Macaca fascicularis: one gene and its partners. Each later gene encodes a partner of the first gene's protein in a complex. Links are inferred from orthologs where the notes say so. Each region holds a gene or a part of one and is shown in the gene's direction. Other genes may lie near its edges.

Region 1 (7,023 bases):
TGTAATCTTGAACAAGTTAACTACCTCCTTTGTCTCCATCTGAATGAGAGAGGTGAGTGGGGTAGACAGTAGTACAAATTACAGCTCATATCTGACAGATTTTCACAAAGATTAAACCAAATCTACATAAAGTGTTTAACGTAGTACCTTTCATGTACTAAATGCTTTTTTTTTTTTTTTTTTTTTTGAGGCAGAGTTTTTTTTTTGTTTTTTTTTTTTGAGACGGAGTCTCACTTTGCTGCCCAGGCTGGAATGCAGTGGCCGGGTCTCAGCTCACTGCAAGCTCCGCCTCCCGGGTTCACGCCATTCTCCTGCCTCAGCCTCCCGAGTAGCTGGGACTACAGGCGCCTGCCACCTCGCCCGGCTAGTTTTTTGTATTTTTTTTTTAGTAGAGACGGGCTTTCACCGTGTCAGCCAGGATGGTCTCGATCTCCTGACCTTGTGATCCGCCCGTCTCGGCCTCCCAAAGTGCTGGGATTACAGGCTTGAGCCACCGCGCCCGGCTGAGGCAGAGTTTTGCTCTGTCACCCAGGCTGGAGGGCAGTGGCACAATCTCAGCTCACTGCATCGTCCATCTCCCAGCTTCAAACAATTCTGCCTCAGCCTCCCCAGTAGCTGGGATTACAGGCTACAGGCGTGTGCCACCATGCCCAGCCTTTTTTTTTTTTTTTTTTTTAGTAGAGACAGGGTTTCACCATGTTGGCCAGTCTGGTCTCAAACTCCTGACCTTAGCCTCTACTAAATGCTTAATAATTGTTACCTATTATTATCCTCATCAAAGTTCCAACTCCTAGTACAGCGCCTGACACATAATAGGCATAATTCAATGTTTGCTGTACTTTTCATATGAATCAAGAGCATCATTTCTAAATAATCACTTGAAGAAACCACTTTCTCATTGAATATTGAGTAATTCACACAACTATTATGGAGAACTCACTGTGTGCCAAGCACTGTAGTGGGTTTGGGGAATATAAAAGTAAACAGTATGTGTTCTGCCCTTACCAAAATAATGATTTCGTGGGGGAGATATATACAAGTAAAGCAGCAGTTACTGTAGCTTCATAAGTATAGGGGTTAAGCAAAGAGAACTATCAATGTGCCAGCACATAGCTGGATGTGGTGGTGCGTGACTGTAATCCTAGCACTTTGGGAGGCTGAGGCAGGAGGGTTGCTTGAGACCAGCCTGAGCAACATAGCGAGACCCCCCCTTTAAAAAAAAAAAAGCCTGTGTTACATAAAACCTCTCTAGTATTGGTTTGTTCTGCTTTTCCCCCTTACCCCACATGTCACCATGTAAATCTCCTTTGAATTCTCACCTTTGGGAGTTTTAGCTGTCTTCTCTTTGCCTGGAAAGCTGAGCTCTCTCCTTGTAATTCAGGTCTCGACTTAAATATGACCTCCTTGAAGAAGCCTCTCTTGGACCTCCAGTCTCAAGTAGCTATCCAGTTTCTCTCTGCAACATCCACCTGTTTAAATTATCTACATGGCTTGTGATTTTTCAGGATGTATTACTGTTTTATGTTTTCTTATTTAGTTTCTGTCAGTTTCATGAGAGCAAATAATTTGTCTTGCTCTTGATCCTCCTGCTGCCTGCACCCAGCTTTTTTGGTGTTTTAGAAAAGGCTAGGCCAGGCGCGGTGGCTCAAGCCTGTAATCCCAGCACTTTGGGAGGCCGAGACGGGCGGATCACGAGGTCAGGAGATCGAGACCATCCTGGCTAACACAGTGAAACCCCGTCTCTACTAAAAATACAAAAACTTAGCCGGGCGAGGTGGCAGGCGCCTGTAGTCCCAGCTACTTGGGAGGCTGAGGCAGGAGAATGGCGTGAACCCGGGAGGCAGAGCTTGCAGTGAGCTGAGATCCCGCCACTGCACTCCAGCCTGGGTGACAGAGCGAGACTCCGTCTCAAAAAAAAAAAAAAAAAAAGAAAAGGCTATAAACTTGGAGTCAGGGGACCTAAATTAAATGTTGGTTCAGGCTGCATTTTTTACTTCCTGTGTGCTCTTAAGAAGTCATACCATCTCTCTGAACCCAGTTTATCTTGATTTTTGGTGCTGTATTATTAAAGCTTGCTGTATTATTAAAGCTTGCTGTATCGTTCGGGATCTCAAGACTTTCCTAGTCCAAGGCTGTGTACACTATGTTACCTTCCTCTTTATTACTGCATAATTAGTGCCTTGTCCTCCACTAGATGGTGGTGGCTTGACCCTGTGTCATCTTCTTGGATTTTCCCCTCCCTCACCTCACTGTTGTTTCAAGGTTTTGTATAGAGTCTATAGGTGGTGTTGAGTGATAGGAACTCCCCTTGGATTAATTGACTTCTCTGCTTCTTTGTAGGTGGATTGCTCAGGTTATGACCTGGAGCAGTTACACATCAAAGTGACTTCACTGTGCAGTCGCATAGAGCAGATTCAGTGTTACAATGCTAAAGATCGCCTAGCTCAGTCAGGTAAGCCTCTAATCTCCTCACTTTTTCTGCCTTCTTGCTTCCTGTTTTTATCTTACACCCCACCCTCAGTGCCTGCCACCGTTCTCTAGACCCATGCTCAGTGCTTAACTCTAGTTTTTCTCTCTAGACATGGCCAAACGTGTAGCCAACCTGCTGCGGGTGGTGCTGAGTCTGCATCATGCTCCTGATAGAACCTCCGACTCAACACCAGACCCTCAGCGAGTCCCTTTGCGCCTCTTGGCTCCCCACATTGGCCGGCTCCCCATGCCTGAGGACTATGCCATGGACGAACTGCGCAGCCTTACCCAGTCCTATCTGCGAGAACTCGCTGTTGGGAGCCTGTGAGCCCCAGACTCTTTGCATCACACTCACATGCCCGTTCACACTCACCACACAGAGGTTCCCTGCCTTGTTTGGATTGGCACTGTTTGCCATTCTCTGGGTTGGCTATGGCATCTGCCCTCCTTCCCTGCTGCCACAAGCAGCATCCTCCAGTTGTTCAGGGCTTTTCTTAATACTAAACATAGCATAAGGGCTTCTGGAACCCAGAAGAGGAGACAATTCTCTTTTTACCATCCTCAAGACCAGTGTTTTTCCTTTTAATAAATGGTCAATAAAGCTCCTTTGGCAGAATCCCCCAAAGAACCAGGGAATCCTTTTTCACCCCTAGCCATTCTGGATCTTGTGACCCTCCATGCCAACCAGCTACCCTACTCCTACCCTGGCCCTTTTATGCTAGGACTCCTTAGGAGGAGTGAGACAGGTAGTAATGGATCCTTAACAGGTGAACTATCCACAGAAGGAAGAGGGATCCGTCTCTTAAGTAATTGGTTAGTTAACACTGAATTTTGGAGGCAGAGGAGGGTTGGCCTGAGTTAGGAAACAGAATGGGATCTTTCTGACACACTTAGGGCAGAAGTGAATGCCTGCCATGGAGGGATTGATCTTCAGAGCTTCTTTTGTTCCTGCCTTTAGTGTTCCATGAACACCATACCTTTGCTACTACTATGTGCAGGAGCCCTTGGTCATATGTGACATGTCTATGGGAAGCTCCCAGAATTTGGTTTGGTCCCTGGTTTTCAGTCATCTTGCTGAGAGTCTGTCTGGATTTGCCTGAAGAGTTTGGATTAAAAATGGCAGGTTGGGTAACCCTCCCTGTTCATCCCATGTTAGCTCTAAAGCATTTTCCACCCTCCATCATCCCTTCCAGAAGCAAACCATGACTGAGGCAGGCATGGAGTTGGGCGTTAGGGGCAGGCAGAGGGCCTTTGCTACACTGCTGACAGCTATAGGGAGCCCCAGGTAATGGCATGAGATAGCTGGTGTTAGGGCTGTCTCAGGCAATATGGCCACACCTGGGTCTTTATGCATGAAGATTATGTAAAGGTTTTTATTAAAAAATATATATATGTATAAATAAATGATCTAGATATTTTCCTCTTTTTCTGAAGTTACTTTCTTAAAAAATAAATAAATAAAATGTTTATAGCATTCCTGGTATTGGCTTTCCCTTTGTATTTTTGAGCCTTCTTGCCCTGAGGATCTTTATGATGGCCTTGTTTGATTTAGCCTGTTTTTGAATTTGCCTTCTAAATGGAGACAGGCCTTGGGTTAAAGAGAGAACTATTTGGTGCTAAACTGAGAGATAGATTAGCCCAAAGGCTAGATTTATAAGGGGAGATTTAGGGGCAAGGGAGTTGATTATTGATTAATACTGATTGCTGTACATATATTTATACATATAGATTTCCAGGTCTCAAATTGCCCAATAGAATATACCATTCAAAGCCTCCTCGCTCTTCTACTGTAGTGGTTTTGTTTTTAAACCTTGAGTGACGCTTCACCTTTCTAAGTCGGATTCCCTTTTGTAAAGGGGATAATGATCCCTGATGTTACTTCACACAGGGCTGTTTTCAAGAGGAATCAATTGAGTAGCATGAGTACTATTCCAGATCTTATTTTGATTTGTCAAGCTGAAGATATGAGCAAATACCCATTAAGATTAGAACAAAGACTTCTGAGACTTTGAGGAATTCAGGGATGAGAAAGCATAGTGGGTCAGCTCTGTGGCTGAAACTTCCATTTAACTTAGACACCTCAGAAGAAGGGTTACTCAGCTGGAATCCCCTCCACTACTGACTCAATATGTGATCCTGAGTGGGTCACAGAACTTAGTTGGACTTTCCGACCTGGTTTCCTTACCAGAGGAATGTTTCAAAAAGTGATTATGCTGTAGAAATGGTTAGCTCTTAGCAGTGTTAGGAATTGTGGGCCAGGAGTGTTCGCTGACACCTGTAATCCACTTTGGGAGACCAAGGTGGGAGGATTGCTTGAGGCCAGGAGTTCAAGACCACACCAGGTAACATGACAAGACTCTCTCTAAAATAGTTGGGCATGGTGGTGTGTGTGCATAGTCCCAGCTACTCAAGAGGCTATGGCAAGAGGATCGCATGAGCCCAGGAGTTGAAGGCTGCAGCGAGCCATGATTGTGCCACTGCACTCCAGCCTGGGCAACAGAGCAAGAAAAAAAGGTTCTAAATCAAAGGTTTATCATAGAAGCCATGTTGCATAAAAGAGAATATCAACTTCCAGTTCAAGATAAGGGTGATGAACAATGAACAATCTCCTTTTTTTTTTTTTTTTTTGAGACGGAGTCTCGATCTGTCCTCCAGGCTGGAGTGCAGTGTCGCAATCTTGGCTCACTGCAAGCTCCACCTCCCGGGTTCACGCCATTCTCCTGCCTCAGCCTCCCGAGTAGCGAGGACCACAGGTGCCCGCCACCACGCCCGGCTAATTTTTTTTTTTTTTTTTTTTTTTTGTATTTTTAGTAGAGACGGGGTTTCTCTATGTTAGCCAGGATGATCTCGATCTCCTGACCTCGTGATCCGTCCACCTCGGCCTCCCAAAGTGCTGGGATTACAGACGTGAGCCACTGCACCCGGCCTGAACAATCTTAATCTTTTTTTTTTTTTTTTTTTTTTTTTTTTTTTTGAGACGGAGTCTCGCTCTGTCGCCCAGGCTGGAGTGCAGTGGCTGGATCTCAGCTCACTGCAAGCTCCGCCTCCCGGGTTCACGCCATTCTCCTGCCTCAGCCTCCCGAGTAACTGGGACTACAGGCGCCCGCCACCTCGCCCGGCTAGTTTTTTGTATTTTTTAGTAGAGACGGGGTTTCACCGGGTTAGCCAGGATGGTCTCGATCTCCTGACCTCGTGATCCGCCCATCTCGGCCTCCCAAAGTGCTGGGATTACAGGCTTGAGCCACCGTGCCTGGCCTAACAATCTTAATCTTCTACATCCCCAAATCCCGTTGAAATAGTAAAAAAAAGTTTTAATTTCAAAAAAAGTTCTCAAAAACATAAAACAGGAACCAGTTACCTCAACATTCGATAGATCTGTGGAGTCTACAACATTCAAATTAACTTATTTTCTCAACAGAACCCTGAAATAATTCCAAAATCAAAGTTAACAGAGGTCTGGAGAATTAAATTTTGGAATAGTTGAGCAAAGGCCTGCAGAGTATCTGCTCTTTTTAGATGTTTCATCTTTAGCTCAGTTTTGTTAATTTGTAATTCCAGAAAATTGTTCCAGATTTTTTTGTTATTCAAATAACCAGTCCTTAGACTTATTAATCAATTTTACTGGAGTTGTGTATGGTAATCTATTAATTTCTGCTTTAAATGTTCATTTCTTTTTTTTTTTTTTTTTTTTTTGAGACGGAGTCTCGCTCTGCCGCCCAGGCTGGAGTGCAGTGGCCGGATCTCAGCTCACTGCAGGCTCCGCCTCCCGGGTTCACGCAATTCTCCTGCCTCAGCCTCCCCAGTAGCTGGGACTACAGGCGCCCGCCACCTCGCCCGGCTAGTTTTTTTTTTTTTTTTTTTTTTTTTTTTGTATTTTTTAGTAGAGACGGGGTTTCACCGTGTCAGCCAGGATGGTCTCGATCTCCTGACCTCGTGATCCGCCCGCCTCGGCCTCCCAAAGTGCTGGGATTACAGGCTTGAGCCACCGCGCCCGGCCTTAAATGTTCATTTCTTAGACTTTCCTAAGGATTTGTTTAAACCTTGTATTGGCTGGGCACGATGACTCACGCCTGTAATCCCAGCACCTTGGGAGGGTGAGGAGAGAGAATCCCTTGAGCCCAGGAGTTTAAGACCAGCCTGGCAACATAGGGAGACCTCGTCTCTTAAAAAAATGAACAAAAATTACCTGGGTGGTGTGCACCTTTAGTTCCAGCTACTCAGGAGGCTGAGGTGGGAGGATGGCTTGAGCTCTGGAGGCAGAGGTTGCAGTGAACTGTGATTGCATCACTGCACTCCAACCTGAGCGACAGAGCCAGACCTTGTCTTTTTTTAACCTCTCTATGCCTAGTGTTTCATTTCATTATTAAGCTAGTGGGAGTTACCTATATCCTATTACTCAAGATCATTGCCAAGGTCTGATTTTTCACACAAAAAAAATTTGCAACCTCTGGCACAAATGGGTTTAAACAAATGGTTTATTACAGTTGAGTTTTGTGAGGATTCTTTATAGATTCTGTATTTGAGTCCTTTGTTGAATATGATTTTGAAATATTT
Region 2 (8,099 bases), about 53 Mb from region 1:
CCACACAGATACAGACTACATGTGAGAGTATATAGTGAGAGTATATAGAGAGGGGTAACACTTTGGATATGCTGAGTTTGAGATGTCCATGGGAAATCCAAGGGGCATCAAGGAGGCAGCTGAATATAAAGGCTGAGAACTCGGCAAAAGAGGTCTGACCTCTAGATATGAATATGGAAATAATCAGTCTTCAGAAGAGTTCTGTCCACTGTGGTGCATCAGTGTCATGAGCAGTTATAACTTAGATAACCAGGAATTCATGAATAACAACAGTTGAAGTGTGGCCAGGCGCGGTGGCTCACACCTGTAATCCCAGCACTTTGGGAGGCCGAGGCAGGAGGATCACGAGGTCAGGAGACTGAGACCATCCTGGCCAACACTGTGAAACCTTACCTCTACTAAACATACAAAAAAATTAGCTGGGCGTGGTGGCACGCACCTGTAATCCCAGCTACTCAGGCGGCTGAGCAACTGGAACAGTGCTGGCAACTGAGATGGGGAAAGTAAGTGTTGGGAGAGAGGTTAGGACTTCAGTTTCAGACATGTTAAATATAAGATACAGAATAGGCAGTTGAATATATAAACCTGCACTTCAGGGGAGAAGCTTAGACTGGAGATGATCAGCATATAGCAATGTGGTATTTAAAGCCAGAAGACTGGATGAGATTCTCAGGGGAGTGTCTGTAGATGGAAAGGACCAAGAATTGAAGTCTGCACACTCCAACATCAAGAGGTTGGGGAAAAGAGGAGCATCTAGGAAAGGAGTCCAAAAAGGAACAGTTAGTGAAATAGGTAGAATCAAGAGAGTGGTGTCCTTGATGCCACATGAAGAATGTGTTTCCACATGGAAGGAGCAAGCAATTGGTCAAATTCTACAAGTAGTCAAATAAGCTTAGAAATAACAGTTCAGTCCAGGTGCTGTGGCTCACACCTGTAATCCCAGCACTTTGGGAGGCAGAGGCAGGAGGATCGCTTGACGCCTAGAGTTTGAGACCAGCCCGAGCAACACAGGAAGACCGTCTCCACAAAAAATAAAGAATAAAAAATGTGGCAGGGCATGGTGGCACAAGCCTGTGGGCCCAGCTACTCGAAAGGCTGAGGCAAGAGGATCACCTGAGCCCAGGAGTTTGAGGCTGCAATGAGCTGGGATCGCACCACTGCACCCCAACCTGGATAACAGAGCAAGATTCTGTGTCAAAAAAAAAGGAAAAAGAAGTTTAGTATTATATAGGTAATGTGGATGTCATTGATAACCTGGAAAAAAGCAGTTTCAGCAAGGCAGTAGGAGCAAAAGCCTGAAAAACATGGATTTAAGAGAGAATGAGGCCAGACACAGTGGCTCACGCCTGTAATCCCAGCACTTTGGGAGGCCGAGGCAGGTGGATCACTTGAGGTAAGGAGTTCGAGACCAGCCTGACCAACACGGTGAAACCCTGTCTCTACTAAAAATACAAAAAAATTACCCAGGCTGGGTAGCAAATGCCTGTAATCCCAGCTACTTGGGAGGCTGAGGCAGGAGAATTGCTTGAACCCAGGAGGCAGAGGTTGCAGTGAGCCGAGATCTTGCCATTGCACTCCAGCCTGGGCGACAAGAGCAAAACTCCATCTCAATAAATAAATAAATATATAAATAAAAATAAGAGAATGAGCAAGAAGGAATTAGAACACTCGAGTTTTGCTGTGGGTGAGAGGAGAAGAGATACGGAGTAGTAGCTGCAGAGAGTGGAGGTCGAGCGAATGTTTGTATGCTTAGTACATACAGTACTAAGTAAAAAGGGAGAAAAATTGAAAATGGAAATAATTTAATCGCTGGAATGATGTCCTTGAGCAGCTGTTCTACGGAAGTAGAAAGGTTGTCTCAGCATAAGCTCAGAGACAGTTTAATTTATAGTAACAGGAAGGGAAGGCAAAATATGTGGCTACAGATGGTGGTAGGTGGGGAGATGTCATTGTAGAGGAAGTCCTCCCTTCCTCCTTCCTTCTTTTCAGATGGGTCTCTTTCTGGCCATGCTGGAGCGCAGTGGCAGGATTGTAGCTCACTGTATCCTCCAACTCCTGGGTTCAAGAAATCTTCCTATAGCTGGGACTACAGAGGGACACCACTATGCCTGGCTAATTAAAAAAAAAAAAAAATTATTGGAGATGGGGGTGTGTTGCCCAGGCTTGTTTTGAACTCCTGGCCTCAAGCCATCCTTCCATCTCAGCCTCTGATTGCTTTAATTTTCTAAATGAAGCAGCAAGTGGAGAGTCAGGATGATGACGGAGGCAGTGGAGGTTTCGGGAGTTACGAAACACTCATTTAGAACAGTAAATGGAGAAAGCAAATACCATGTGTTTGCCAGGCAGCAAGATGGGTCCACTCAAGGTACATGGTCCTGATGGAGTTAGAGGGAAGCATGTCAGTATGGGTGTATAGTTTTCTGTCTTCTTTCTTTTTTTTTGAGATGGAGTTTAGCTGTTGTTGCCCAGGCTGGAGTGTAACCGCGCGATCTCGGCTCACTGCAACCTCCACCTCCCAGGTTCAAGCGGTTCTCCTGCCTCAGCTTCCCAAGCAGCTGGGATTACATGCACGCACCATCATGCCCCCGCTAATTTTTCTTTTTCTTTTTTTTTTTTTTTTTGGAGACTGAGTCTTGCTCTGTCACCCAGGCTGGAGTGCAGTGGCGCGATCTAGGCTCACTGCAACCTCTGCCTCCCGGGTTCAAGTGATTCTCCTGCCTCAGCCTCCCGAGTAGCTGGGATTACAGGCGTGCATTACCATGCCCGGCTAATTTTTTGTATCTCACTGTTTCACCATGTTGGCCAGGCGGGTCTGGAACTCCTTACCTCGTGATCTGCCCACCTCGGCCTCCCAGAGTGCTAGGATTACAGGCGTGAGCCACTGCGCCCGGCTAATTTTTCTGTTTTTCGTAGAGGCCGGGTTTCACCATGTTGGCCAGGCTGGTCTTGAACTCCTGACCTCAAGTGATCCTCAAGTCTTGGACTCCCAAAGTGCTGGGATTACAGGCGTGAGCCACCACACCCGACCTTGGTGTATAGTTTTCTTCAGGCACGTTCAGCTACAGATTTGAATGTAATCGAAGTTGTTTTTACTGATGAAGAGTTAGGCAATGAAGTAATTTAATGGTATTCAGGATAAGGAAGAAACACCAAAGAAGTGAGGGACAGTGAAGAGCTTGTATAACAATGGATTTCAGGTAGAATGAGGGGGCTGCACTGCCAAAGTTGGTGTCCCAGAGGGAGTGAAGTGGAAAGATAGGAAATGATGGTCGGAACCAGATAAATGAAACGGAGAATGACAGGGAATGGCTGTGGTCACTGGTAATAGAAGTGACCAACAAGCGTTGGCTATCACTAAGGAACAAAACCTTCCCTGCTGGAGATTAGCATTTTCCCCGATTTTGAACATCTACCCCCACAATATCTTCTAAACATCCACTATGGGCCCTTATTGCATTGACAGCCAAGTGCAAGATCACGGTTGGAATGAATGGCAAATTCTTTTCACGTATCCAAGTGAGTAGCACTCAGGTAACCTCAGCAGGTGGCAGCATCAAGGTTTACCACATTACGTTTCATTATACAGGAATACACGAATACAGTCTCTTGGGGGGAAAAAAGACCAAAACCAAAGGCCCTTCCCTCACTACCCCTTCCTCACCCCGCCAACCCAAGTGCCACTGAAGAGCGAAGGGAGGATCGGCAAAGATTTACAGACGGACACCCTAACCGAGGGAGAGGTGACCAAACACCCGGGATCCGGCAGAGGACGCCCAAAGGCCGGACCTCCCCGGACCTCGCCCCTCCTGGGAGACTGAGCCCCGCGTTTTGGAAACAGAAACAAACCCGGTCCCGCCCCCTGCCCTGCGGCCGCTGAGAAAAGGGCACCGCCCTCCGGAGGCGTTCCAGCCGGCCACTCGAAGATTCCAGCAGATACAGTCGGCCTCCCCTGCCCGCTTCTCTTCTGGATTCCCCGCTGCCCATCCTCATTCTCCCGGTGGAAGCCCCGCAACGAAGGACCGGAGCCCCCTTTCTGCTCCCGGGATGCTTCACCCGTCCGCAGCTCCGCCCGCCCCGCCCCCGGAAGTGACGGCGGCCGCGCGGCCCTGCCTTTGTCCCGTCGGGCATCGCGGCGACGGCGGGAAGATGGCGGCGGCGGGATCCCTGGAACGAAGCTTCGTGGAGCTAAGCGGGGCTGAGCGCGAAAGGCCGAGGCACTTTCGGGAATTCACAGTCTGCAGCATTGGTACGGAAGTGGCCAGGGAGGGCGCGATCCGATCTGTCCCCTCGGGCTCCTCTCATGGGTCCTAGGGTCTCTGACTGCTGGGTTCATCCTCCTGAGTCCACATGCCTCCAGCCCCGGGATCAGAGATTCCTTGATGTCCGACGTTTTCCTCTTTTCTTTGTATGGGTTGTCAGTCTGTCACCCTCTGCTTTATCAGGTCCCTTAGTCCCTGTCATTTCTCAGAAGACGCGTGTGCAGGCTGACCACGTTCATTTTGCAGGGACCGCAAATGCCGTGGCTGGCGCCGTAAAATACAGTGAGAGCGCGGGAGGCTTTTACTATGTGGAGAGTGGCAAGTTGTTCTCCGTAACCAGAAACAGGTTCATTCATTGGTAAGTGCTGTGGTTCGCCAAACTCCCCTGGAAGGTAGGGTTTGGTGTGTAAATTTTAGTTGCTGTTCCCAAAGTGCTATTCTAGAAGCGGTAATCGACACTTAGGGAAAGAGAAAGTTTTTTTTTTTCAGTTCGTATCAGAGTCGGGAAAACTGAGACACAGTTCTAGAAGAGTTTACCCTCCCCCCCCACCAATACACACACACACACCAAGCAACACCAAAAGCAGAGGGAATGTAGCTTAGGGGTATAAAGCCCATAAGACTAGTTTTAAACATGAACCCATTATGTTTTTATAGTGCTTTACAGCTTCCTTCATTGAACAAATATGTTCGAGCTTCAATATGTCAGGCATTGTGCTAGGTACCAGGACGAAATGAACAAAACTGCCATCTTCATCATGCAAGACGTTGTAGCAATGTCAGAATAGTTGTGGACTCACTTTTCATGGGGAAATTTTGTGGAGGAAAACTTGCCCTAGAGGAAAAATACAGGGGTTACGAGAGGCTAATGAGAGGACCAAATGTTATTAGTGGGGCAGGAAAAGGCTTTCACAGTTACCCTGAGGTCTAAAGGACACGAGGTTAGCCAGGTATGGGGAGTGGACAGAGAGGAGTCCAGCAAGCAGGATCACCATATGCAAAGGTCACAAAGTGGAAAGAATGTGGCAGGTTTGGAACTGACCAAAGATCTGTGTGGCTTAAGTGCAGTGGGTAAAACAGAAAGTAATGTGAGATACTGAGGCTGGAGAGGTAGGCAGGACTCGGACCATGAGGGACCCTTAGGCCATTTTTAAGGATTTTTGGATTTTATCCTAAGTACATTGAGTAATAATGGAATAGGTTTTTAAAGAGTTACTAACATCAAAATTGCATTTTTGGATGGGAACAGTTAACACTGGGGATTCCAAAAGGAGCGGGGGAGCAGAGGTTGGAAAACCTATCAGTTACTGTGTTCACAACTTGGGCGGCAGGATCATTAGAAGCCCAAACCTCATGTAGATAGGAATATATACACAATATACTCATGTAACAAAGCTGCACATGTACCCCTGAATCTAAATTTTTTAAAATGTATTTTTAGAAGATCTCAGTCTACTTTGTGGAAAGTGGATTTGGATTAGATGGGTATAATGCAAAAAAAAGTTTGCTTTTATGATGGCCCAAGTAAGGGTTGCTGGTGGTTCAATTGTGGGAATGAATAGAAATAGAAAAGTAGATGGATTCAAGATACCTTTGGAAGATAGATTCACTAGGACTTGGTGGTGGATTGAATATGGGGTAAGGGATGGTAAAAGAAAAGGAGAGAACAAGGACAGCTCCCTGGTGTCTCATGTGACTAACCAGATGTGAGTGGGGAGGGGTTGCCATTTACAGAGATCCATAGAAGATGGATTTTGGAAAGATATGAATAATTCTGTTGGACATAGTAAATTTGAAGTACCTGGGGAGCAGCCCTTTGGAAATGTCAAGTAGGCATTGAAATTTACAGGTCTAAGGCTCAAAAGAGAGACTTTATGTTAGAGATACAAATTTCATTTAGTTAAATATTTTGGCTGGGCACAGTGGCTCACACCTGTAATCCCAGCACTTTGGGGGGCTGAGGTGGGAGGATCTCTTGAGGCCAGGAGTTCAAGACCCCATTTCTACAATTTTTTTTCTTTTTTCTTTCTGTTTTTTTTTCTTTTCTTTTTGAGAGACAGTCTGGTGGCTCCATTGTCCAGGCTGGAGTGCAGTGGTGCAATCATGGCTCACTGCAGTCTCCGCCTCCTGGGTTCAAGTGACCCTCCCACCTCAGCCTCCCAAGTAGCTGCAATTACAGGTATGCGCCACCATGCCCAGCTGATTTTTCTATTTGTTTTTGTAGAGATGGGGTTTTGCCTGGTTGCCCAGGCTGGTCTTGGACTGCCGAACTCAAGCAGTGCCCCATTCTCGGCCTCCCAACTTGCTGGGATTACAGGCGGAGCCACCATGGCCGGCCTGATTTTTAAAAATTAGCCAGGCGGGGTGGCATGTGCCTTTCATCTTAACCACTCAGGAGGCTGAGGCGGGAGGATCTGATCATGCCACTGCACTCCAGCTTGGGAAACAGGGTAAGACCCCATCTCTTTTATAAAAACAGGAAGAAATAAAGGAAATTTGCTTCCCTAATATATTTCAGTCCATTTTTAGGGAATAGGGATATAGCAGGGAACAAAACAAAGTTCCTACTCTCATGGAGGAAAATAGGCAACAACAACAATAACTAAAAAAACAAAAAACCCAAGTACATGTAGTTTTGTTACAGGAAAAGGGTGCCGATCCAGGCCCCAAGGGAGGGTTCTCAGATCTCACACAAGAAAGAATACAGGGCAAGTCCGCAGTGCAAAGTGAAAGCAAGTTTATTAAGAAAGTAAAGGAGGGCCGGGCGCGGTGGCTCAAGCCTGTAATCCCAGCACTTTGGGAGGCCGAGACGGGCGGATCACGAGGTCAGGAGATCGAGACCATCCTGGCTAACACGGTGAAACCCCGTCTCTACTAAAAAATACAAAAAACTAGCCGGGCGAGGTGGCTGGCGCCTGTAGTGCCAGCTACTCGGGAGGCTGAGGCAGGAGAATAGCGTAAACCCGGGAGGCGGAGCTTGCAGTGAGCTAAGATCCGGCCACTGCACTCCAGTCTGGGCGACAGAGCGAGACTCCGTCTCAAAAAAAAAAAAAAAAAAAAAAAAAGAAAGAAAGTAAAGGAGGCAGGTGTGGTGGCTCACGCCTGTAATCCCAGTACTTTAGGAGGCCGAGGCAGGTGGATCACCTGAGGTCAGGAGTTTGAGAGGTCAGGAGTTTGAGACCAGCCTGACCAACATGGTGAAACCCTGTCTCTACTAAAAATACAAAATTAGCTGGGCGTGGTGGCACATGCCTGTAATCCCAGCTAATTGGGAGGCTGAGGCAGGAGAATAGCTTGAACCAAGGAGGTGGAGGGTGCAGTGAGCTGAGATTGCTCCATTGCACTCCAGCCTGGGCAACAAGAACGAAACTCCATCTCAAAAAAAAAGTAAATAAATAAAAGAATGGCTACTCCATAGACACAGTAGCCCCAAGGGCTGCTGGTTGCCCATTTTTATGGTTATTTCTTGAAGATATACTAAACAGGGATGGATTATTCATGCCTCTACTTTTTAAACCATACAGGGTAACTTCCTGATGTTGCCATGGCATTTGTAAACTGTCATGGCCTTGGTGGGAGTGTAGCAGTGAGGGCAACCATAGGTCACCCTTGTCACCATTTTGGTTTTGATGGGTTTTGGCTTGCTCCTTTATTGCATCCCGTTTTATCAGCAAGATCTTTATGACCTGTATTTTGTGCCGACCTCCTAATCTCATCCTGTGACTTAGAATGCCTTAACTGTCTGGGAATGCATCCCAGTAGGTTTCAGTCTCATGTTACCCAACTCCTATTCAAGATGGAGCTGTTCAGGTTCACTTGCCTCTGACAGTTTGTCAGTTG
Region 3 (8,046 bases), on another chromosome or scaffold:
CCTTTTTCAGAGTATTTTGTTCTCTAATATTTTCTTGAGTACTTCTTAGGAAGCTTATTATTATTAATTTCTTATTATTTTATTTTGGTTCCTTAGCTGACTCAGAGTCTTCCTGAAATAGTTTTTAGTTTCACCTTTCATGTTGTTGATTTTCACATCTCTGATGGTTTTTCATTCTTCATTCATTTTAAAGACTTGGGCCAGGTGCAGTGGCTCACACTTGTAATCCCAGCACTTCAGGAGGCCAAGACGCAAGGTGGGAGGCTGCTTGAGCCCAGGAGGTTGAGTGAGGTTGCAGTGAGCTATGATCTATGCCCATGTCACTGCACTACAGCCTGGGCAACAGAGAGAACCCCTGTCTCTAAAAAAGGAAAAAAAAAAAAAAGAGTGGAGTTCTAGATAGAGGTAGAGACAAAATACTGGGGAGAGGAATCTGGAGGAATGGAAGTACAGTGGTTTCCTAAAGAGGTTTTAAATTGGCATTTTGTATTTAGCCCCCTTCTCATTTCACCTTCTACTGTAAAAGAGAACTCCATTCCTGGAGTCTCTCTGGGACTTTGCCAGGCAGATCAACTCTCTGTGAAACATCAGTCACCTCCGGAAAAATTATGGGATGCCACTTCCGTGATCTGTTTCATTTGTCAACAAGTTTCCACATTTCTTTTGATCTTTCCAATAATTTTTGAAATACCTAGTCTGCTGATGGCCCCTCTCCAGGTCACTTCAGCTTAACAAATTTATTGGCTAGGCATGGGAACTAATTCCTGTAATCTCAACACTCTGGGAGCCTGAGGCTGGAGGATCACTTGAGACCAGGAGTTCTAGACCAACCTGGGCAACATAGCAACATAGTGTAAAATTAAAAAAAAATTAGCTGAGCATGATGGCATGCTTCTGTAGTCCTAACTTTTCAGGAGACTGAGGAGGGAGGATCCTTTAAGCCCAGTTCGAGGTTACAGTGAGCTATGCCACTGTACACCAGCGTGGGTGATAGAGGAACTCTTGCTTTATTACGGCTTTAGGAGGCAGACTAAACACTCATGTCTCTACCTTCTCAAAGCAGAAATTTTTATTTACATTTGCTGTCTCTGGAATTTCTGGTCTGATTACCATTGTACCAAATACATTTTACTGTCCCATAGAGGAATTTTTGTATTATTATTCTTTTTCACAGTTTAGTAAGCTATTTTTATGCAACTGTTGTTGGATCTTTGGAATAATTTTGTTCAAGAAAAATGAGAATTTTGATTGCATCGAATTTAGATTTAAATGCGTGTAATCACCTGTCTTATCTTTAGAAATAGATGATCCGACCCCAAATTTCAGCACAGCAGTTTTCCATCTAGAGATTTGTCTGACTCCTGTGAAGCAAGAAGTGGTTGTCACTAGTTCTCACTAAATATAATAAAAGTGATCCGTGTAAATTCCCTGTCACTCTTAAAAGGATACCCTATTGAAAACATGTTAAAATCTGTTTGCCCAAATTATTTGCTTATAAAACTCACTCTGAGACCAAAAGCATCTCACAAAATTCTAGTGTTTCAGGAATGAGGTTTGAGAAACACTGGTGTTTAAGTATTTTGCCGATCATATTTTAAAAAGTATTTTCTAAACCCACTTTATATCCTAGTAGAAAAAGTGTTGCCTATTATTCAGTGCCCTTTTGACACTGAGATGATTTCCTTAACACTATATTTAACACAGATTTATATTTTGAATTATCTTTGCACTTAACAAAAACAACAAAAAACTCAATTTGGTTATAGAGAAATGCCCCTTTAAGACAGTATCAAACTGATTTTGCTAACATCTAGGAATTTTGCACTTAAATTCACAAATGAACATCAAATATGAGTCAGGCACTGGGGATACAATGGTGAGCAACATGTATAGCCTTCATCATCACTAAGCTTACACTGAGTGACTTTAAATGTTCTTTTAGGATGTTAAATATTATGGCAGCTTCAAAAATTAAGCTAAGAAGCTCTCCATCATTTTCTATTACTTGAGTTTAAAGCACAAGATTTAGCTCTTAGGATTTTTACCCATAAATCTGAGTGGGCTGGAGGCTTTTTATTTGAGGGTACAGAAATTTGGCATCTTTTTTTCAGTCCTGTCTGTAGTTATTGACTTAATTCAGTTTTCCATCTTTTTTGAGTTATGTTTTCCTTGAAAAGTGACTATTTCATTTTCTATTAATATTTATTGGCAGTATAAAATTGTATAAAATATTTTAATAATTTTTAAACCTCCCTTTTGTTAAATTACTAACCTTACTAGTGGCACTATTCCTTTTCTTGTTACATTTCCTGTCTTTGAATTTCACTGGTATTGCCAAAAAGCAGCTTTATACCAGACTATGAGCACTTTATCAATTTGACCAGTTTCCTTTTAAAACGTTGTTCTCAAACTTTACTAATTTCCTCTTCCTAATTTCAATTATACAATTTTGTTCTTCATTTCTAACATCTTCAAATAAATGCCTGGTCTATTTTTATTATTTCTTATTTAAAATAATGTTCTCCTATAGTTTGGTCTGTGTCTTAAAATGTTAACATATAGTTTTTTTCAATATCACTATGTTCTAGTAATTACAATTTCTCTTTCCTTTTAGACTCAAAGGTGATTTATAAAGGTACTTTAAAATTTAAAATACGAACAAAATAAAAGTTCCGCTTTTGTTTTTTAGGGGTGCTATCCCTTAGCTAATTTTTAGCTTGTTCTATCATACTATCTTTACTTGTGCAAATTTAGCCCATCCTTGTAGGTCTAACGTTTATGCCACCTCTTTAGGAAGCCTATCTTGTGCTCTCTCCCTTCTCTAAAATTTTATATACATCCCTTAAACATATGTTTACATATTCTCCGCCTTCAACTCCCATTCTCAGGCTATTTTATTCCCGTTTATGAGATTTGCTGTTTAGCTCAGTATTTTGTGGGTTTTCAAAAGATTCCACTCAATTTACCGAGCACCTATGCACCAGACATTTTATTAGGTACAAGGAAAAGCGTTAAATAGATATAATCACGGCCTTCAAGAAATTGAACCTGGTAAGGGAGACGAATAAGTAGACATTCAAGTGAGCTTTAGGAGACTTGGTTTGGTAGTGAATACAGTCTCACGTGTATTAACAATTTACAGCACCGTAAAATAAGAGACAGAAGCCAACAAATCCGTTTCAAACAGTTCAAAGGAGGAAAAGGAGAGGGAAGGGCGGTTTAGATACAGCATCACCATAAATAGCCTGATAATCTAACCCTGTGATAATCCAAGTATAGTCACAGCACCTGCCTCAGAATCACTTGGAAGGCTTGTGAGGAATACAAACGCAGATTCATACCTACTGAAATTAGAATGGAGAAAGGGGCATTTAAGTCTGCATTTTAAACACATTCCCCAGGTACTGAAGCCATCCAAAGTTTTAGAACAGAGCACAGCCACGCTTCGCAGACCTTGTTCCTCAACTACTGCCTCCTTCTAGCCGGAGGGTGGCCTGCAGCGTGTCCCTTCCCTTCCCACCGTCCAAGTTATCCATCTAGTTTTCGAACGTCGGCCCACAGACCGCAGGACAATACGCGAGAGACTAGGAGCACCCACCACGCAAACCACCACACAGGGATCGGAGGCCGGACCCGCAAAGGATTCGGGGAAAAAGGCATCAGGCCAATCCGAAGGGCGAGAGCGGCCCTAGGAATGGAGGGGCGGGGTGGGTGGCGGGGGGGGGGGGGGGCGGGGAGAGAGAGGTTTTTTTTTTTTCTTGATTGACGTAAAGCGTACCCAATGAAAATAAAATTGGTAAAGCTTCCGCCATAATGGGCAGAACCATAGCGACATTTCAACCAATCCAGCTCAAAAGTGTCTATGTTGTGGGAGGTCCCTGAGGCCGCTGAGGTCGTTCGTGTCTGTTGAACGGTTGTGGGAGTCTTGCTGCTTTGGGTAGGGGGTTAAAATCGTTTCTTGAGAGGAACGACTCTATCCGAAGAGATAATGAGTTTAGCTCTGAGGTCGGTAATAAGGAGGCGGCAGTGCTCTCCACACCCCGGAGCGGGACCTAGGGAGGGTGTGTGTGGAAGGGAGGCCGTTTGGGGCCGTGGCGAGGCAGGGGATGCTGTTTGGGATGCGGGAAAGGAGCCTAGGGCAGCCTGTCTGGATCACTCACCCTCTGGGCTCTGGTGCCCTGCAGGGAACGAGACTTCCAGTGCATTTCTACTAAGGAGGTTATTTCTGTCAGCGCGTAGGGCTTTGGACTACCAAAAAAATGGGCTTAGTTGCGAGCGAGGGGGAGGGAATGAAATATCGCGAGGCTTCTACTCTGTTGCTCTGAGAGATCAGGCCGCGGAACATCCCTTCATTCAATTCGTATGCCTGGCCAGGGCCCCACCTCCGCTGCTCTGCTGCTGATGCAATCATCCACCTATAAATTTTGGAAATAACAAAAAACTCTTTGCTATTCTCCCAAGGTCCTGCTTTACGGTGTAATTAGAAACCCATTTTAGTGACTAATTGGCAAACTGTCTCTTGGATTTCCTGTTTCTTTCATTTCTTTACCTTTCAGTTCTAACCTCTAACCCTCTGTCTGTTACCCGCTCCCCCTACGTAGACGTTGTACCGTAAAACTATACATATACTTAGGACACTCTAAAAATGTTCCATGTTCTGCTAAGGGATAATCATGGTACCCTTGGATGGGGTCAGGGGTGGGTCGGTTCTGGACTTGGCCTCTAAAAGTCTCAGGAAGGAAAAGACTGACCCCAGGAATACCCAAGTTTGTGTCAAGTCAGGTCTCATGAAAGGAAGATCTTCCTCAGCTTTGTCATACTGCATCTACTGGTCACTTCCTAGCCTTTTTTTTTTTTTTTTTGTAGCGTTCAGAGACCAAAACGACTTTCAAATGCAGCTAGATACGTGTTTTAAATACAGTCAACTGGTTTTGACATGTTAATGTGTTACCAGATTGTGTGTTTCAAAACTTGTTCTTATACCAGTGTTGCGGCTCCATTGGAAAACTTGGAGCACATTTAGATGGGCAGCTCTTACGGAAAACATTTCTGGCTTTAAAGTAATTTTTGCTTTTTTCTTTAAGCGTTTCCAGAGTTTATGAGAAGTTTAACCTCCAGTTTACATCTTAAGTGAGATAAGACTTATGAAGCACAAATATTGTATACTTTTTTGACATCTAATATTTGTCATATGTTTAGACTCATTAATATTTTGGGTGATTTGTTAATATCAGTGGAGGAAATGACACATAAATTGCCAAACTGTTAGAAACGTGTAATCTAAAAACATTTTGAACCAACAGTCCCAAAATATAAGTTAATCCAGTTGTATTTTTTGTAGTAATTTTATGAACTTAATTATCAGAACTATCAAAAGTAAACCGATATATGGTGATTGTCAGTTACGAATTTTGGTTTCATTTGGAGATTTTTTGGTTTCTTTAACATTCTTGTAGAATAATGTGAGTGTTTTTGTTTTTTTTTTGGTTGGAGTTGGTTGGAGTTTCAGACATAAACGTAATGTTGCTTATTCACAGTTCTTGAATAAATAAAAAGTTAGGGAAAGTGGGAATAAATAAAAAGCTGGGAAAAGGAAAAGTTTGGTCCTCATTTCTTTTAATAATCTGTAACACTCTTTAGTTTTGGGAAGTTCATATTTATAGCAATTTAGACTATGGAATAAACAGGGCATTGACTCATAAAGGGAAAGTTTCCCTGTCTTTCTCCAAAGTACTTTCTTTTTTGAAATTTAGAAAATAATTATTGGCTAATTTCTGTTAGTAAAGAGAATTAAAGTGGACTAAGGGCTTTTTCTTTCCATTTCATAGAAGTGAGCTTGTAGTAGACAAAACAAAGAGGAAAAAAAGAAGAGAACTGTCTGAGGAACAGAAACAAGAAATTAAAGATGCTTTTGAACTATTTGATACAGACAAAGATGAAGCAATAGATTATCATGAATTAAAGGTAATGGTATACTTTAAAATACTTGTTTCTGTGTTAAAATGATTTGCATTTTGACAGTTGCTTTACATTACATTTCTAAGTAATTATTTTAACTAAATTGGTTTTGGAACTATGAAGGCATTTTAAGCATTCATAGTTAGATTCTATAATAATACTGAATAGAACTCCTAACACAGTTTTTAGAAAATCTTTTTCACGTGATAAAACGAATAGCATTTTAAATGTAACAATACATTCCTAGGGAAGGTGCTTATTTTTCACTGACATAATTAAAGGATTTCAAACTGGAATTTAAACTATTACCATATTCTTTTCACTGTTTTTTTTGTTTTTGTTTTTGTTTCTTGGTGACTCATACTGTTTTCAGATTGTGGGATTGTTGTCTTTTAATCTTATAATTTGTATTTGTTAGTAACATAGTCTCAATCCACTTTCTGTGGTACAGACAACTTCAGTGCTGTTTGATGTTGACACATGCTAGTAGGTAAAAATGTCAACTTTAAGACCTAGAATGTCAAGGTGTAGAGAGGGATTTGTAAATTATTATTTGTCAGGGTATAAGGAGAGATTTGGGTTTAGGGTTGAGTGGGACTTACTTTCAGCACAGTGGGAAAGATAGTATTTTGAGATTTTTAATAGCCTTAATGGATAGGTGAATGTAAGTGTTTATTTGATAGTTTTAATTTTTGTAATTTCTTAAGGGATTTTTAAGCATTAGAATTCCAAGTAGGGATACGAACTATGCAGTGACAGTATAGAATGTATAAAAACAATTAATAGGCCTGTAAGTCTAGCTTTCTCAATCTTGCAGTCCTCTTTAGCTCTCTTTTCCCACTGTTTTTTGTTTTTGTTTTTTGGTTTTGGTTACCCAGATTTGATCAATTCTTCCTTTATAGTGTCTCTTCCATTAGTAACCATTGACTGGTTTCAGACCTTATTTCATACCTGGAGCTTCCTAAATGGTTTGTCTACTTGTAGTTCACCTTGTATACTACTACCACTGAATTTAGATAGTTTAAAAAATCTTTCACCATTGCTTATAAATTGTTCGTTGCTCATAAGCCTTTACTATTAATAACTCCTCATTATATACTACTTAAAGTTCAGATTCCTTTGCTTTCTACTGAATGTTCTCTACACTTTTGCCACCAACTACTTTTTTCATTTGCTAACTGCTTTCTTCCTCCCAAACTCTTCTAATTCACGTGGAATTCACCTTCTAATCCAGGTGAGCAGTTTATCTCACCTGAACTCTTCTAATTCAGGTGAGGTAAACTGCTCTGTTCGTTGTCCTTCAAACCTATTGTTCATTTCAGTGTTTCTTTTAATACTAGTCATCCTTCCCAAATGCCCTACTGCTCCTCTTCATCTGTCCTTCAAGGAACAACTTGAATCTTTCCAAATAAGACTTACCTAGTCAGTAACATGTTTCCTTCCTTGTTACTAGTAACAAAGTCTCTTTTTTGTCTAAACTCAGGGTCCTTCGCCCTATTATTAACCTAATAACTAATCATGGAGATGCTGATGATAATTCTTATTTTAATGTTTTATCTCTTCTATCATATAACTTTAATATTTATGCTATGCCTTTTTCTCATTTTGGTTGTTATTCCCGTGATAACAAATAGCAGTCAAATTATCTGTGCAGTAAGTTAGTGCATTTTATATAGTAAACACTTGTTGGTTACTTTGTCATATAAAAATGCAATTTATAAATGAAAAAACTTATACATAATTTCAGTAGTGAAGAACAATTACACTGTCACTACTATTTTAAAGAGGTAAAACATGCAAAAAAGTTATATTTTACTAATGTGTTTTTATCTCTTAAGATGTAAAAACTTAATAATTAGAAATTCTTTTGTAAAGATTGCTTTATAATTTGCTTTTCCCTTTTAATCCAAAAGGTGGCAATGAGAGCCTTGGGGTTTGATGTAAAAAAAGCTGATGTACTGAAGATTCTTAAAGATTATGACAGAGAAGCCACAGGGAAAATCACCTTTGAAGATTTTAATGAAGTTGGTGTGTATTTTAATAGTCTTTGTAATCAGCAGCTGTTAGGAAATTGTCTGATTAATATGA

The links. Proteins that work in one complex are often made in the same cells at the same time.
Region 2: NUP98 (region 1) and NUP160 share a complex: the UniProt entries of both Homo sapiens proteins name them as parts of the nuclear pore complex. The link is inferred for Macaca fascicularis from reciprocal best matches to the Homo sapiens genes NUP98 and NUP160.
Region 3: NUP98 (region 1) and CETN3 share a complex: the UniProt entries of both Homo sapiens proteins name them as parts of the nuclear pore complex. The link is inferred for Macaca fascicularis from reciprocal best matches to the Homo sapiens genes NUP98 and CETN3.

What each region holds. Positions count from the first base shown.
Region 1 is NC_088388.1:70,594,790-70,601,812, forward strand, and holds the end of NUP98 (nuclear pore complex protein Nup98-Nup96), read left to right. Parts: intron 1-2,340; coding exon 2,341-2,452; intron 2,453-2,579; coding exon 2,580-2,797; 3' UTR 2,798-3,943; downstream 3,944-7,023. UniProt on the Homo sapiens protein: Plays a role in the nuclear pore complex (NPC) assembly and/or maintenance. NUP98 and NUP96 are involved in the bidirectional transport across the NPC. May anchor NUP153 and TPR to the NPC.
Region 2 is NC_088388.1:17,980,948-17,989,046, forward strand, and holds the start of NUP160 (nuclear pore complex protein Nup160), read left to right. Parts: upstream 1-3,915; 5' UTR 3,916-4,044; coding exon 4,045-4,246; intron 4,247-4,505; coding exon 4,506-4,617; intron 4,618-8,099. UniProt on the Homo sapiens protein: Functions as a component of the nuclear pore complex (NPC). Involved in poly(A)+ RNA transport.
Region 3 is NC_088380.1:94,404,230-94,412,275, reverse strand, and holds the start of CETN3 (centrin-3), read left to right. Parts: upstream 1-3,862; 5' UTR 3,863-3,988; coding exon 3,989-4,005; intron 4,006-5,828; coding exon 5,829-5,964; intron 5,965-7,871; coding exon 7,872-7,986; intron 7,987-8,046. UniProt on the Homo sapiens protein: Plays a fundamental role in microtubule-organizing center structure and function. As a component of the TREX-2 complex, involved in the export of mRNAs to the cytoplasm through the nuclear pores.